4 linked regions of the Macaca fascicularis genome follow. The protein of the gene in region 4 purifies or fractionates together with the protein of the main gene of each other region. This does not show direct contact. Links are inferred from orthologs where the notes say so. Each region holds a gene or a part of one and is shown on either strand. Other genes may lie near its edges. The genes, in order: NGDN, NAT10, NOL10 and AATF.

What was found.
Region 1: the proteins of AATF (region 4) and NGDN purify together in Homo sapiens (affinity purification with mass spectrometry; 3 studies listed by BioGRID and IntAct, with this or other methods). This does not show direct contact. The link is inferred for Macaca fascicularis from reciprocal best matches to the Homo sapiens genes AATF and NGDN.
Region 2: the proteins of AATF (region 4) and NAT10 purify together in Homo sapiens (affinity purification with mass spectrometry; 3 studies listed by BioGRID and IntAct, with this or other methods). This does not show direct contact. The link is inferred for Macaca fascicularis from reciprocal best matches to the Homo sapiens genes AATF and NAT10.
Region 3: the proteins of AATF (region 4) and NOL10 purify together in Homo sapiens (affinity purification with mass spectrometry; 4 studies listed by BioGRID and IntAct, counting the BioPlex papers as one, with this or other methods). This does not show direct contact. The link is inferred for Macaca fascicularis from reciprocal best matches to the Homo sapiens genes AATF and NOL10.

Annotation. Positions count from the first base shown.
Region 1 is NC_088381.1:91,238,554-91,242,697, forward strand, and holds the start of NGDN (neuroguidin), read left to right. Parts: upstream 1-1,325; 5' UTR 1,326-1,344; coding exon 1,345-1,356; intron 1,357-1,671; coding exon 1,672-1,731; intron 1,732-2,538; coding exon 2,539-2,610; intron 2,611-4,144. UniProt on the Homo sapiens protein: Part of the small subunit (SSU) processome, first precursor of the small eukaryotic ribosomal subunit.
Region 2 is NC_088388.1:31,438,675-31,442,240, forward strand, and holds part of NAT10 (RNA cytidine acetyltransferase), read right to left. Parts: intron 2,835-3,566; coding exon 2,701-2,834; intron 2,501-2,700; coding exon 2,452-2,500; intron 30-2,451; coding exon 1-29. UniProt on the Homo sapiens protein: RNA cytidine acetyltransferase that catalyzes the formation of N(4)-acetylcytidine (ac4C) modification on mRNAs, 18S rRNA and tRNAs.
Region 3 is NC_088387.1:111,424,708-111,428,273, forward strand, and holds part of NOL10 (nucleolar protein 10), read left to right. Parts: intron 1-514; coding exon 515-600; intron 601-3,113; exon of another isoform or gene 3,114-3,207; intron 3,208-3,364; coding exon 3,365-3,443; intron 3,444-3,566.
Region 4 is NC_088390.1:44,011,921-44,015,486, forward strand, and holds part of AATF (protein AATF), read right to left. Parts: intron 3,386-3,566; coding exon 3,271-3,385; intron 1,156-3,270; coding exon 954-1,155; intron 436-953; coding exon 271-435; intron 1-270. UniProt on the Homo sapiens protein: Part of the small subunit (SSU) processome, first precursor of the small eukaryotic ribosomal subunit.

The sequences.
Region 1 (4,144 bases), on a different chromosome or scaffold from region 4:
AACTAGACAGGTCCGAAAATTTATGTAGAAACAGAAACTTTTCATAATACAAATCTTGATAAAACATTACAAAAGCTACTGGATAATTGACTAAGTATGCTGCAACAGCATCCTGAGCTTCCACACTAGGCCTGAAGCAGCAAATAAATGTCAGAGGAGTGGGGACTGAACGCCCTCCTGCTTTCTTGATTCCAGCAAGACCTAGATACCAGGATTTCCTCACCCCAGCTGCCCAGATACGGGTGTTATTCTTAATTCCAAAAGCAGCTTCAAGTCAGGAAGATCTGATTTCTAGACCCAGCTCTGCTAGACGGTTGTGAACAAAAATTATACACTATCATTCACCCTTTCAGTGCTTTATTTCCTAAGGCATGTGATGGGAACAATGAATATCCGTCCAATCTACTTCACCAGCCTGTGAAAAACCAGAGTGAGTGAACACATCTGAAAGCATTGGGTAATGATGAGGCAGGTCATATTGAAACATGCACTGCTCGAGTCTGAACCAAGTTCTGCTGCTGAAGACCTGGGTGACCGGGGTAAGTCATGTAAATATGAACGGTTCCCCAACTTGTAAAACATTCTTTTCATGTCCCCAACTGGTAGGAGCGAAGAGTGTCGGGGCCGTTTCTCAGCGCCCCACGGTGCACATCAAGAGAGTAGGTGTCCTCGCAGTCAGTTTCTACTCTGGCTCTGGGCTTCTCTGGCCCCGCTCTCTTATTTACAGATGAAGAAAGCTCAGAGACCGAGTGACTTGTCCACGGTCACACAAGGAGTATTGTTACAGAATCGATTCCAGGGCCACCGGGTCTGTGAGGAATTTGGCGCGGTGGCCGTTGGATGAGCAGCCAGCAATGGCGGCTCCGCAACGTCGACACCGCAAAGCGAAGCCGAGGCCCGTCACCTAGCGGCCTGTTCAGGCACTACAAGAAAAGTGCCGTGAAAAAAGACTCTGGGTTCTGCGGCGGACGGGAGCCAATAAGCGCTAAGTTCGCGCTGCTAATTCCTTTTTTCTATTGGTCCTTCCAACTGTCAATCAACTATTTGCCTATCTCTTATTGGCTTGCCGTCAATCATTTTACTCAGTCTACCAATCACACGCTCTTTGCCAAGTGCTTTTTTTTTTTTTTGGTCCTGACATCGCTGAGTCTGACGAATTTAGCCAGTTCCTTTATTCCATTGGCCAGATCAGACTCCTCCTCTCGTTTATCCCGTTGAGGGCGGAAGTGAGAAAGGCCTTATTCGTATTGGCTTAGGTTTGCAAGCGGCAGTTGTCTATCAAATCTAGCAAGACGCCCTTAGCGCTCAGGAAGTACGGAACCGGAAGGGGTGGGCTTTGCGAAGATGGCGGCGCCGGTGAGTTTGATGTGGTTTCTTCCTCTCGTAGCTATTGTGGAGTTTTCCTTTCCCTTCAGCGGCTGGAGGCAAACTGTTGGTACCAGGGAAGGGTGGTGATGAAAGTTGCTTCAGGGAGGCGGCCTCCCTAGAGTTACTGTTCCTGTCCAGTAACTCAAGGGGCTGGCTTTAGGGCGAGTCTGTGAAGAGGAGTGTGAAGGCCCCGAGTCTGGGGTGTCAGACGGAGAGAGGGCAGTTTCCCAACCTAGACGTTCCGCCTTCTTATAATCCTGAGGAAAGAATGACTTTTCTTTACTCCTCCTCTCCCTTCTGTAGGGGGTGCTGGAGTCAGACCTGCCAAGTGCCGTGACACTTCTGAAAAATCTCCAGGAGCAAGTGAGTAGTGTCGCCTCTGGAATAAATTAGTCATGGATTGGCCTTGACTTTATGTACTTCACCTCAAAACTTTGGTGATTGAGATACATGAATGCTCCCAAAAACCGTAAGAGTAAAGTGATGTAATGAAAACCTTTCCAGGCCAGAGTTCTAAGTAATTGATTCTGCACCCAAGGGAATACAAGAAACGCCAAAAAGGAAATTATCTGAATAGTTTTCCCTTATTCATACAGCTAAGGAAACCAGTGCTTGGAATGGTAACATGATTTGCCCGTTGGGTGCCCAGGTAATACACACTTAAATACAGAGGCTTCTTGACTTAACGATGGAGGTTATGGCCTGATAAACCCATTGTAATACGAAAATCTCATAAGTCAAAATTTTGGCTTGATGCCGCTGCCCAGCATCACGAGAGAACAGGACGGTTTCTACCGAATGCATATTGCTTTTGCACCCTTGTAAAGTGGAAATTAAGACATAAGTCGGGGAGTTTTGTAGTTTTATGTATTGTAAGTTCAGCCAGTACAAACAAAATTACAGTCCTCCAGTCACTACTGTCCCAGTCCTTTTCTCCTCCCTATGGTTCAGTAAAAGATGGTCTCTTCTTTAAGAAATGGAAAGTTTTTGTTTTTTTTACTTTTTGAAGGACCATCTCTCCTATACTTTCCCAGAAGTGAGAAGATAGTACTATACTTTAGACAGTGTTTCAGATGATTTTTAGGTGGCATTGTTTAGCTTTTGCTCTTCACAGTTTGCAGACATGATTTGATATAGTCTAGTCCGTTGTTTCATTTGGGCTAATTTCAGGTGATGGCTATAACGGCACAAGTGCAATCACTGACACAAAAAGTTCAAGCTGGTGCCTATCCTACAGAAAAGGTAAGATGTACACAAACAGTAAGCATCCCCTGACTTAACGTTCTCAGTAGTTATTTCATTGTATGTTTATTGTGTCTTATATATCCTAAGTGCTCGAGCTTCAAACATAAATACGATTCAGTTTCTGTGCTGAAGTCTAGTGGGAAGACAAAGCAAAGCAATAGACGTAAGTATTAATAGTAGCAATCACATTACAGAGTTATGAGGAGTCTCCAGCCAAAGAGAGGGATTAATTAACTGCCAGAAGAGCAGAGGGATTCAGGACAGGCTTCCCAGAGGAGGTGATAGGATTTTGAGGAATAAACAGGAGGGACAGAAAGAAGGAACATGTGCAAATGCACAAAGGCCTGAAAGTATGTGATATTATGGGAAAGGAGAAAGCCGTTTTTGTGATAGGATATACTTTCTGTGTTATGTGTGGTGGGGGTAGGAAATAAGACTGGAAAAGTAGTCACTCTGAAGATCATTGTAGGCCAGATGAGGAGTTACTCTCAGATTTCATCTAATCTAAGACACTTATTAATTGGGACATATCACTTATTGTGTATATTAAGAAAAAATGTAACAGGCTGGGCCTGGTGGCTCATGCCTGTAATTCCAGCACTTCAGGAGGCTGAGGCTGGAGGATTGCTTGAGCTCAGGAGCTTGGGACCAACCTGGGTAACACAGTGAGACCCTGTCTCTACAAAAGTTAAAAATTAGCCATACATGCTGGCATGTGCCTGTAGTCCCAGCCACTCGGGATGCTGAGGCCAGAGGATTGCTTGAGCCTGGGAGGTTGAGGCTGCAGTGAGCTGTGGTTGTGCCACTGCATTCAGCCTGGGTGACAGAGCAAGACCCTGTCTCAAAAAAAAAAAAAAAAAAAAAAAAAAATTCCTCATGACATAATACCAAGATGCCAGTGACTGAAACATGCATCCTGATTTCAGAGATGTTAAAATATGAAAACAATGTGCATCTTAAAATTGAAATATGCGCCTGTAATCGCAGCACTTCGGGGGGCCAAAGTGGGAGGATTGCTTGAGCCCATGGGTTTGAGACCAGCCTGAGCAACGTGGTGAGACCTGTCTCTACAAAAAAATAAAAAATTAGCTGGGTGCAGTGGCGTGTGCCCATAGTCCCAGCTACTCGGGAGGCTGAGGTGAATGGATCGCTTGAGCCCAGGAGGTCGAGGCTGCCATCAGCCACAGTTGCACCAGCGCACTCCAGCCTGGGCAACAGAGTGAGACTGTCTTTAAAAAAAAAAAAAAAAAAGGGCCTGGCTAAGAAAAAAAGGTGGCTCACACCTATAATTCCAGCACTTTAGGAGATTGTGGCGGATAGATCATCTGAGGTCAGGAGTTCGAGACCAGCCTGGCCAACATGGCAAAACCCCATCTTCACTAAAAATACAAAAATTAGCCAGGCATGGGGGCATGTGCCTGTCTGTAATCCCAGTTACTTGGGAGGCTGAGGCAGGAGAATCGCTTGAACTCAGGAGTTAGAGGTTGCAGTGAGCCAAGATCACGCCACTGCACTCCAGCCTGGGTGACAG
Region 2 (3,566 bases), on a different chromosome or scaffold from region 4:
ATGCACGAGTGCTCTCCGGTCAGATCATTCTGGACAACATAGAGGTTCAACTGGCACCAAGAACCCCGTTTTTTGAACAACCCATCATTGATGAAGGGTAAACACTCAGAGAAGAAAGGCTTGGTGCTTCCGCAGGCCTCTCCTTCTACCTGGGCTGGGAGAGGCACCCTTCTCAAACACAGCCCTCGCCTTCACCTTCCTCATATCACCTCAGTTCACATGCAAGGGCTGTAAAGATCACTGTCCTGCAATCTCCTCAAAAGCGTCACAGACACAGAGCAGAGGTGCTCACTCTTCCAGGCCTGCCTCTTGCTCGGGACCTGCGGGAGGGAAATACCTGTTCCTCTCAGGTGGATGCTGAACTCAGTCATTAGGGCTTAAGCTCCACACAATCCAGTCTACATGGGTTTGGTGCCTCACAGCAGGAACTCCAGGGACAAAACCTATATCTCAGTGCTGGCAGCCAGTCTGCAAGTGCAGGCTTCTTTAGGTGCTAAAATTGCGACTGTTTTTTTTTTTTTTTTTTTTTTTTTTTGAGACAGAGTCTTGCTCTGTCGCCCAGGCTGGAGTGCAGTGGCGCGATATCGGCTCACTGCAAGCTCCGCCTCCCGGGTTCACGCCATTCTCCTGCCTCAGCCTCCAGAGTAGCTGGGACTACAGGCGCCCGCCACCACGCCCGGCTAATTTCTTTTTGTATTTTTAGTAGAGACGGGGTTTCACCGTGTTAGCCAGGATGGTCTCGATCTCCTGACCTCGTGATCCGCCCACCTCGGCCTCCCAATTGCGACTGTTTTTACATTTTCTACTACATAACAACAAAGCCCATACCATAAAAACACCACTATCAAGTCACAAATGAACAGCGCACAGTACAAGACCACATGGACACACCACAGACCACACGGCAGCTCACTAGCCTGCATTCTCCTTGCAGCTGATGGCCGAATTTACATCCCCAGCCTCCACCAAACGCACCGACAGAGAACCAGCCCATCTCTGCGGCTCCCTGCCTGCACGGAAGCAGCCCAACACCCAGCGGTCCTCACCAGTCCCACTTTAAATCCTCGGACGGACACTGGACACTAGCCTCGGATACTGGCTTTGCCCTAAACCTCCAACACTTCCCTCTCAGCCGATGGACTCCCCTCATCTGGGAAGACAGAAGCACTCAGAAGAGAACGTCATCATCCTCCCATCCCCAAATCAGCCAGCCAACTGATGCCTTCCATTCCCATGCTCTCTGCCTTCCCTGGGTCCGAAGGATGAAGTAGGTGGTCACCTCCCTTCCTGAGTCTCGAGTCCCACCCACCACTTCCTCAAGGCCTGCACTCTGGCAGTCAGCCCCCCTCACCTATACCACTACTTGCAGAATCGAACCCAGCAGCAAACAAACATTCTCTACAATCCCCCTTTAGCTTCCATTTCCCTCCAGCGACCTTGTTTCTCTGCTCCCTTTCGCTTCCTGAAAGAGTCGCCTGTTCCCCTTCTAGTTCTTCACCTCCTCTTCCCTCTGGCCAGGCCAAAGCCTCCACTCCACTGCCGCTGCTTCAATGCAGCTCACTGCTGCTGATGAATCCAATGGCCAGCTGTCCTCATCCTCCTCATCCTCTCTACAGGGCTGACTCCCATTCCCACTTCTTCACCTCGACGTGGACATACCCCGACTTTCTCCTGCGCATCAGGGCTGTTCCTTCTCAGTCCTGTATGTGCTGTGTCCTCCTCCTCATTCCTCTAAATGTTAGGGTCCAAGGAGTCACCCTCATGTCCTTTCACTGGCTCCAGATATTTTTCTTTCACTCAACAAAAGCATTTACTGAACACATACTACACAGCAATTGCTACTCTAAGTGCAAAGAATACAGCAAGGAACAAAACAGACAAGAGCTCCGTGCCCTCGTGCAGTGCATTTTATTATGAATATGCTGATGGCTCCCAAAGCTCCATCTCTAGCCCCAAACTTCCCTACCTCCATATTACTGTAGTCAAATAAATGCCTAGTCCACATTTCCACTTGGATGTCCAATAGGCATCTCACATTAATGTCAAAAAAGAACTCCCACTCTTCCCTCCAAATCTGCTCCTTCTGCAGTGAGTCCCACCTCCGACAGCACCTCCAACACCCAGTTTCTCAAGCCAAAACTCTAGGAATTACCCTTGATCCTCCTGTCCACTCTCCTTCCTCAGAATCTGATGAACAAGTCCACGTGCACCTCTGCCATTTTATGACTAAGCACAAGGCATGCACCATGTAGTCGGGGAAGAAATGTGTGATGACATGGCTCGTCCCTGAGGATGGCTGTTTCCGTGTCCATCAGAATAAACCTCTTCAGAGGCACAGCCACCTGCTCAGAGCGACACAGCAGGGATGCACTAGGGCTCTTTGCAAGGACAGGCCTGTCACCTACCACAACGGCAAACCTAAACCTCTCCTCTGCTGGATGCCTCACTCACCGGGGTCTGTCTCAGATAAACAGGAACAAATCCAGCTCGTTTCCAGAACCTGCAAAGATACAAAGACAGTAGGTACTGTGTGTGTGGTCTCTGGGGAGCGGCTGACAGACACACAAGGGCAAGCACCAGGAGAGCAGGCCACGAACAGCAGGCTAGCACAGGCACCAGCTACCAACAGACACACAGCCCACAGAACTCTTCTTTCTCAATGCCAAGGAGTGATGCTGAGGAAGGAGGGCAGGCACTTACTTGAGGAGCCTGGGGGTCAAGCCATAGGAAACACCCAGGTAATCCAGGCGCTCAGCGGGCCTCTCATTCAATTTGAGGAGTAAAGGAGGCAGGTCCTTCCGGGGAGTGATGACCTCTTCCAGCAAGCTGACAGCCTGTGAAGATGCCAAGGAGAGAACACAGTCCACTCGACACAGGGAGAGAGACATTGTCAAGCAACCCTGCCACAGCTCACTCTGGACTTAGCACAACAAAAACTGGGAGAGGTTTCTTGGTTTGTTGCTGTGGTTGTCAAACTATGGGAACACCACAGTCAAGCAATCATTCCCACGTACACAAAATACCTCAACATGCATGGAGTCACACTGCTCTGGACCTCCAGAATGCAGGAAGACAGCCACAGAGTTTAGGAATGACTGACAGACGCTGGGAGTGGTGGCTCATGCCTGTAATCCCAGCACTTTGGGAGACCGAGGCAGGCGGCTCACCTGAGGTCAGGAGTTCGAGACTGGCCTAGCCAACATGGCAAAACCCCATCTCTACTAAAAATACAAAAATTAGCCAGACGTAGTGGTGTGTGCTTGTAGTCCCAGTTACTCAGAAGGCTGAGGCAGGACAACTGCTTGAACCTGGGAGGCAGAGGTTGCAGTGAGCTGAAATCATGCCATTGCACTCCAGCCTGGGAGACAGAGTAAGACTCCATCTCTTTGAAAAAAAAAAGAAAAGAAAAAAGAAATGCCCGACAGATTTACAAAGGGACAGACAGGTTCCTATGATCCAGCATGAAGTCCAGGTTCTATCACCTGACAGCCTTGGGAAGTGACAAACCTCTGAGCTTGAACTTTTTTTTTTTCATTGCTTGAGACAGGGTCTGGCTCTGTCACCCA
Region 3 (3,566 bases), on a different chromosome or scaffold from region 4:
TTTAAAAGAAATTCAGCTCATGTTAAAACACTTAAACAGTACTAAAAAGGTTATAAGGTAAACAGTTAAACTTTTACTTTCTATGAAATAAACAATGTTAATTAGGTTTATTTTTGTATGTGTTTTAAGGATTTCCTAGTAGCAGATTTTATTTATTTAATTTTTATTCTACAGCCTTTTTTTTTTTTTTTTTGAGACAGTCTCACTCTGTTGCCCAGGCTGGTGTGCAGTGGCGCAATCTCGGCTCTCTGCAACCTCCGCCTCCTGGGTTCAAGCAGTTCTTCTGCCTCAGCCTCCCGAGTTGCTGGGATTACAGGTGTGTGCCACATACCTGGCTAATTTTTTGTATTTTTGGTAGAAACAGGGTTTCGCCATGTTAGTCAGACTGGGTCTCGAACTCATGGCCTCAGGTGATCAGCCCGCCTCAGCCTCCCAAAGTGCTGGGATTGCAAGCGTGAGCCACTGTGTCTGGCCTTCTACAGCTTTTATTTTAAATTGTTTTTCATTTGCGTAGGGTAGAGTGGAGTGCTGGGACCCAAGAACTCGAAATAGAGTTGGTCTGTTAGACTGCGCCTTAAACAGTGTCACAGCAGATTCAGAGTAAGTAGAAATTAATTTGCAATGTCAGTTTTCATCAACTTTTGATTTCAGTAATGTATCTGTATTAAATTCAAATAAATTGCTAAAGGGTATCTGAAATTGTACTTTCCATGATTGTTTTTCATAAAAGTCCTCTCCTGTGAAAGCTCACTAGTGAGTAAGCCAGATAGAATTTCTTTCCAAACACTGTACAGAAGGTCTTGTTTCTTCAGTTGCTGTAGAATTTTATTAAAACAATTACACTGCAGGAATTTATATTCTGATTTTGTAGGATCTAGTGATAGAACTGGGAGTCCACCACAAACTCCACAGAGGTGTGCTTTGAATTCTAAGGTGGAAGGAAGCAAGTGTTTTTTTAATATTTTCTTGTTCCTGTTTCCCTAATTCCTACATTTAAAACAACCAGAAGAGTTTTCACTATTATACATCCATTTACAGTTTTATGATATTTCCTAAGAAAAGATACCTAGAACCTGAATTTCTGGAGTAAATAGCATACATGTTTTGAAGGTTTTTGGTACATTGCTAAATTGCCCTACAGAAAACATAAGCTCAAGTTAAATGTCTGCCCATGTGCCCAGAGCATGCATTTGCTCACTCTCCTCAGCCTGGACAGTCCATCACAGCCCTGCCAACAATAAGTCTTAGAAAGAACCTGCAGATATTGATTAAATGAAGCTTAGCAGAAATAATAGCTAACAGATAGTGCTTTCTATTTGCCAGGTACTGGGTCTAAGTTCTTTACATATATTAACTTATTTAATATGACAGCCCTTTGCTATAGGCACTGTTATTATACTTATTTTACAGATGAACAAAAGACTCATCAATGGCATACCTGTTATTCAGCCTTTAAGAATTATGTTGCAGAAGCATATTTGTTACTGGGGAAGGGTGGTCCAAATGTGCCTGTGAGTGGAAAAGCAAACCATACCGTTGCCTATAGAGTGTTGCCACCTTGTTACCAGAAAAACAGTGAACACAAGCATAATCACAGGAAGAAGCCTGGGTGTATACCAGAATGTTAAAACTAGGGTTTTTTTTCTGATTCGATTTTAGGTAATTTTATTTTATTTTTTTTAATGCTTAGTTTTTTTGTTTTTGTTTTACCTACAAACCTTAGAAGCTGTCAGTTCTAGGTGGAACCAACACAATATGAGAAGGTAATAAGATAGGGGAAGCAGGCTGCCATTTCCAGATGACATAAGTTTCTGTGCCTGGGAAACTCAGGAGAATAACTGAAAATCTATAAGAACTAATATAACAGTTAAATAAATTGGTTATAAAATGTGCAAAAATCAGTGACCTTGTTATTTATTAGCACTATCCGTCTAGAAAGGTTATAAATGGGAAAACATTCTTATAGCAACAAAAATTGTAAAACTCGATAACATATATGGGCCAGGTGCGGTGGCTGACACCTGTAATCCCAGCAGTTTGGGAGGCCAAGGCGGGTGGATCACTTGAGGTCAGGAGTTCAATACCAGCCTGGGCAACATGGTGAAAACCCATCTCTACAAAAAAAATACAAAAATCAGCTTTGAGTGGTGTCGCACACCTGTAGTCCCAGCTGCTTGGGAGGCTGAAGCAGGAGAATTGCTTGAACCGGAAGGTGGAGGTTGCAGTGAGTTGAGATCATGCCACTGCACTCCAATCTGGGCAACAGGAGTGAAACCCTGTCTCCAAAAAAATGCATATGAAGAAAATGATAAAAGAATAAGTAGAGAAATCTATCACTGTACTGAAAGAAATGATTGAGTGTACTTTGAAGAGCGAGTGACTAAAGTTGCTGTAGATAAGAGGCTTCAAGGTTCCCGTAGGTGCCCCAGTGCAGTTACAGGCTCAAGCTCTAGGTGGCAGAAGAGATCTGATGATGACAAGAGCCGACAGCCAGGACTCTAGGTCCTGGGCCAAGGGCATGTGGACGATGGGATTGATAGCAATATTGTCCACATCTGACTCATCGCCTAGCACTCTTTCCACTGGAGATCATTGCTTTTGCTGCTGATTGGCTTGATTGGTATTTGAGAAGCATATTCTAGAGTTGTGGCCATAGCATTCACTCTGTCTTTGGTACTTTCAGAGGCTCTGGGGTCCCCATTTGAGGATTAGTCTTTTGTTTTAGCTGAGCTTGGCTAATTTTAAAGTGGAAATGGTGTACCCATATCCAAACAAAATTATTTCTTCTTAAATATAAAAGGGGATGTTTCTGTAAATACCTTATTCTGGCTTAATTAAAATGGAAGAAAGAAGTAGATTACATTTTGTATATAAAGTGTAATTTTATTTTGATTATGAAAGTTTGAATACAATTACCATTTGCTTATTATTTTTGAGATAGGGTCTTGCTCTGTTGTCCCAGTTGGAGCACAGTGGAATAATAACAGCTCACTGCAGCCTCGACCTCCCAGGCTCAAGCAGTCTCTTGCCTCAGCTACCCAAACAGCTGGGACAACAGGTGTGCGTCACCACAACTGGCTTTTTTTTTTTTTTTATTTTATTTTTTTTTTGTAGAGATGGTGTCTCACTGTGTCGCCCAGGCTGGTCTTGAATTCCTGGCCTCAAGAAATCTTCCCACCTCAGCCTCCCAAAATGCTGGGATTACAGGTGTGAGTCATCTTACCAGGCTGCAGTTACCTTTTAAACAGAAGGCTAGAAATGTGATTTTCCTCCATTAGATTTGAAGTGAAGATTAATAATGAACTTGTTACTTGGAAGGAGGTTTGGCCATATATTCATGAAGCATGAATATTTTGCTTTTCAGGATAAACAATTTACCAACAATCTCTGCTTTGAAATTTAATGGTCCCTTGACCATGGCAGTTGGAACATCCACAGGGCAGGTAAATATGTTTAATTTGGAAACTTCACATCTAAGTTTTTATTTCAGTGGTGTGTGTATGTGTCATGAGAAATATACTATAGGAACACAAAACGAGGCCATACTATTTTAGCCAGAGCAGGGG
Region 4 (3,566 bases):
AAATTGGACTATGAATGCTTCCACTACCAGACTCCTGCATCAAACTCGAAATTAAGAGAAGATGACACACAGGAGCTAATAGAAGCCCCATTCTTAAAAACTCTCTCCTCTCACATATACTCAAGGTTCTCTCAGTAATCCAGTAAAGTAGTGTTGCTTTCCTTTCTCTCACTAACCTCTTATACAAACAGGTAATAGCTACAAGTTTTTCAGCTAATTAGCCTCATAAAAGCTATTCCCCATAATCATTCTGCATCACAGAGTTCTTACCGGTTCCCCTGGCAAACTCTCTGGGACAGGCTGAGCTGCTGCCTCAGGTTTGCCAAGAACTCGATAGACAGAGCGCTTGGTCTGTGTCCTTCGAAGTAATCTCTCCTTGTCCATCAGAATATGATCGATTTGAGTCAAAATTGAGCGTTCAAAGGCACCAAAACCCTGCAACAACATTAAGTAGCGTCAGATAATGCAGAAAATCAGTGCTGAAGGCAGCTACATTGGTTTCTCTATCTTTCTGTGTCAGCAGAGAGACAGACAATCATTTTTTCAGGAGAGACTTTCTGTAAAGGACTGAGTTTGTGAGTGGCTATAATTGTTCTTTAAAAAAAAAAGTCTTAAGCAGGTCATATCATTTTTCTACACTCGGAGATTAACTTCTGATACTTTAATAATTATTGCTTTGAAATCCACTCCTTTAAAGTATTTGTATTTTCAGCACTTGAACACTTACGAGGCCTGAATTTTAAGAATAAAACATTCTTTCTAATAAAGTTAAAATCCCAAGTCTGAATCGTATAAACCCCAGTGCCAGAAGTTCAGTAGATTTTGCTACAGAAATGAATGATTACCATTACATCATGACAACATCCATATAAATGAGCTGTAGTTCCAATTTCTTAAAACTTCAGGTTTCCACAACCTATCTTACACATACACGCATGCATACACACACTTGCCTTCCCCAGTTTTCCAGAAGCCAGTTTGGTTTTATCGTGCCATTTCTGAAGTGTGCGGTTCCTGTAGACTGTAAAGTCAGCAAAGCGCTTTGCCATGAAGCTGGGATAGTCCTCCATCTCCAGCTTCCTCTTTGCAGGGACCCTTCTTCGTTGCTGCGTCTTCTCTTCTACTAGCTCATCGTCTTCACTAGAAATCTCCTCACTAGAAAACCAGTAAGAATACTACGTCCAGTGTAAACAAACATTACTTAAATTTTAAAAAGTAGGCTCACATAAAGGACAGAGAATTTTTTTTTTAATTTATTTATTATTATTATACTTTAAGTTGTAGGGTACATGTGCCTAATGTGCAGGTTTGTTACGTATGTATACTTGTGCCATATTGGTGTGCCGCACCCATCAACTCGTCATTTACATCAGGTATAACTCCCAATGCAATCCCTCCCCGCTCCCCCCTCCCCATGATAGGCCCCTGTGTGTGATGTTCCCCTCCCTGAGTCCAAGTGATCTCATTGTTCAGTTCCCACCTATGAGTGAGAACATGCGGTGTTTGGTTTTCTGTTCTTGTGATAGTTTGCTAAGAATGATGGTTTCCAGCTGCATCCATGAAGGACAGAGAATATTTAGGCCTTACCTGTTCTGTCTCCATTTGAAATAACACCAAGGATATGAGGATGGCTTTTGTTCTTTGAGAAATATTCATGAGATCAATCAAAAACCTGTGTAGCTTTTTTTTTTTGAGACAGTCTTGCTCTGTTACCCAGGCTGGAGTGCAGTGGCACGACCTTGGCTCACTACAACCTCCACTTCTGGGTTCAAGCAATTCTCATGCCTCAGCCTCATGGGTAGCTGGGATTACAGGTGTGTGCAACCATGCCCGACTAATTTTTTTTTGTATTTTTAGTAAAGATGGGGTTTCACTATGTTGGCCAAGCTGGTTTCAAACTCCTGGCCTCCAGTGATCCACCAGTCTCGGCCTCCCAAAGTGCTGGGAATACAGGCATGAGCCACCATGCCCAGCCTCATGTAACTTTTAAAATGAATATAAAAAGAACTAGTTTCAAAATATTTTTTAAAAGGTAAGCAAACCGTCAAAATAAATGAGGTTTTAAAAGAATTACTAGAAATGTGTATGAACCAGGCCTGTAGTATTATAGGACAGTCTTTAAAAATTAAACATACAATCATATTTCTACAACTTTAATCCCCAAATCAATAAGGGAAATGTATCTCTCTGTAACCAACTGTTAAGGAAAGATGAATAATATTAGTTGAATCAAATACAAGAGAAGCTGAACGTGAAGACAACTCAAAGCGGTAGGCAACAGAATTAGCGCTAACTTGCAGTACCATCTATGCAACTGCCATGGCAATGTAATACAACCTCCAACTATCTGCCAATTGCACTCACTGGATTACTGACCCCCATAGGTGCTCAACAAATGTGAGCTTCTTTTTTGTCCTCCCAACTAGTTCAGTAGATAAAAAATGAAACAAAAGACAAGCTCGAGGGAAAAAAAAGCAAGCAGGTATATACAGCAGGTGTAAATAAAAAGGGGAAAATCTTCATCAAATGTAATAATTTCAGGGGGAAAAAATAATTATTTTGCTGTTTTCTGAAATTTTTCCATCTTTCACAATAACAGTTTTTATTCAAAGGAGATGGCTGTGACCAGTGACTGGAATATATGGTATGGGCACAGAATGTTTCATAAACCAACATTAATTAAGCATTAATATTTTAAAAATGTGCTTTTGGCCAAGTGAAGTGGCTCATGCTTATAATCCCAGCACTTTAGGAAGCTGAGGTAGAAGGATGGCTTGAGCCCAGGAGTTTGAGACCAGATAAGGAAACACAGCAAGACCCTGTCTCTACAAAAAAAAAAAAAAAAAAAGCCAGGCATGGTGGCAAGCGCCTGCAGTCTCAGCTATTTGGGAGGCTGAAGCAGGAGGACTGCTTGAGCCCAGGAGTTTGAGGCTGCAGTGAGCTGTGATCATGTCCCTGCACTCCAGCCTGGATGACAGCGTAAGATCCCATCTCTAAAAAAGAAAGTGCTTTTATCTTCTAATTCCAATAGATCTAAAGAGAAGGCAAGTCTTTTGTCTAAGACCACAAAGCACATCAGGTACAACTAAATATAAAAATCTAAAATCTAATCACCAACTTACATGCCATCCTGACCACCAGTGAAATATGAGACTCTATTTTACTAACATTAATATCTGCCTGAAGAGAACTTGGCTTTCTCCTTCATAAATGATGGGAAACTATCCAAATGAAAAGAAAATAAGCAACTCCATGGTTCTGTTCTCTTACCTTCCCGCATTGGGCTTTGTCCCATCTACTAGATATCTAGTGTCTGGGTACTGGAAAAGCAACTCTTCCTGAAGATCTACCAATGACCTCAACAATGCTTTAAGTGCCTTGTGACCTAGGAAATAAAAGACAGAGAAAGGACAATTAATTATCTACAATTTTCCTAAGTAGGTGATGCCTATAATTCATGACTCCTGAGCAATTCTGGCTGCGGAGAGTGAAGGGGAGGTGCAGGATACACACAGAAACTAAATACTCTCTGAAATATTCCCAAATGGAAATAACAACGTTGCTGA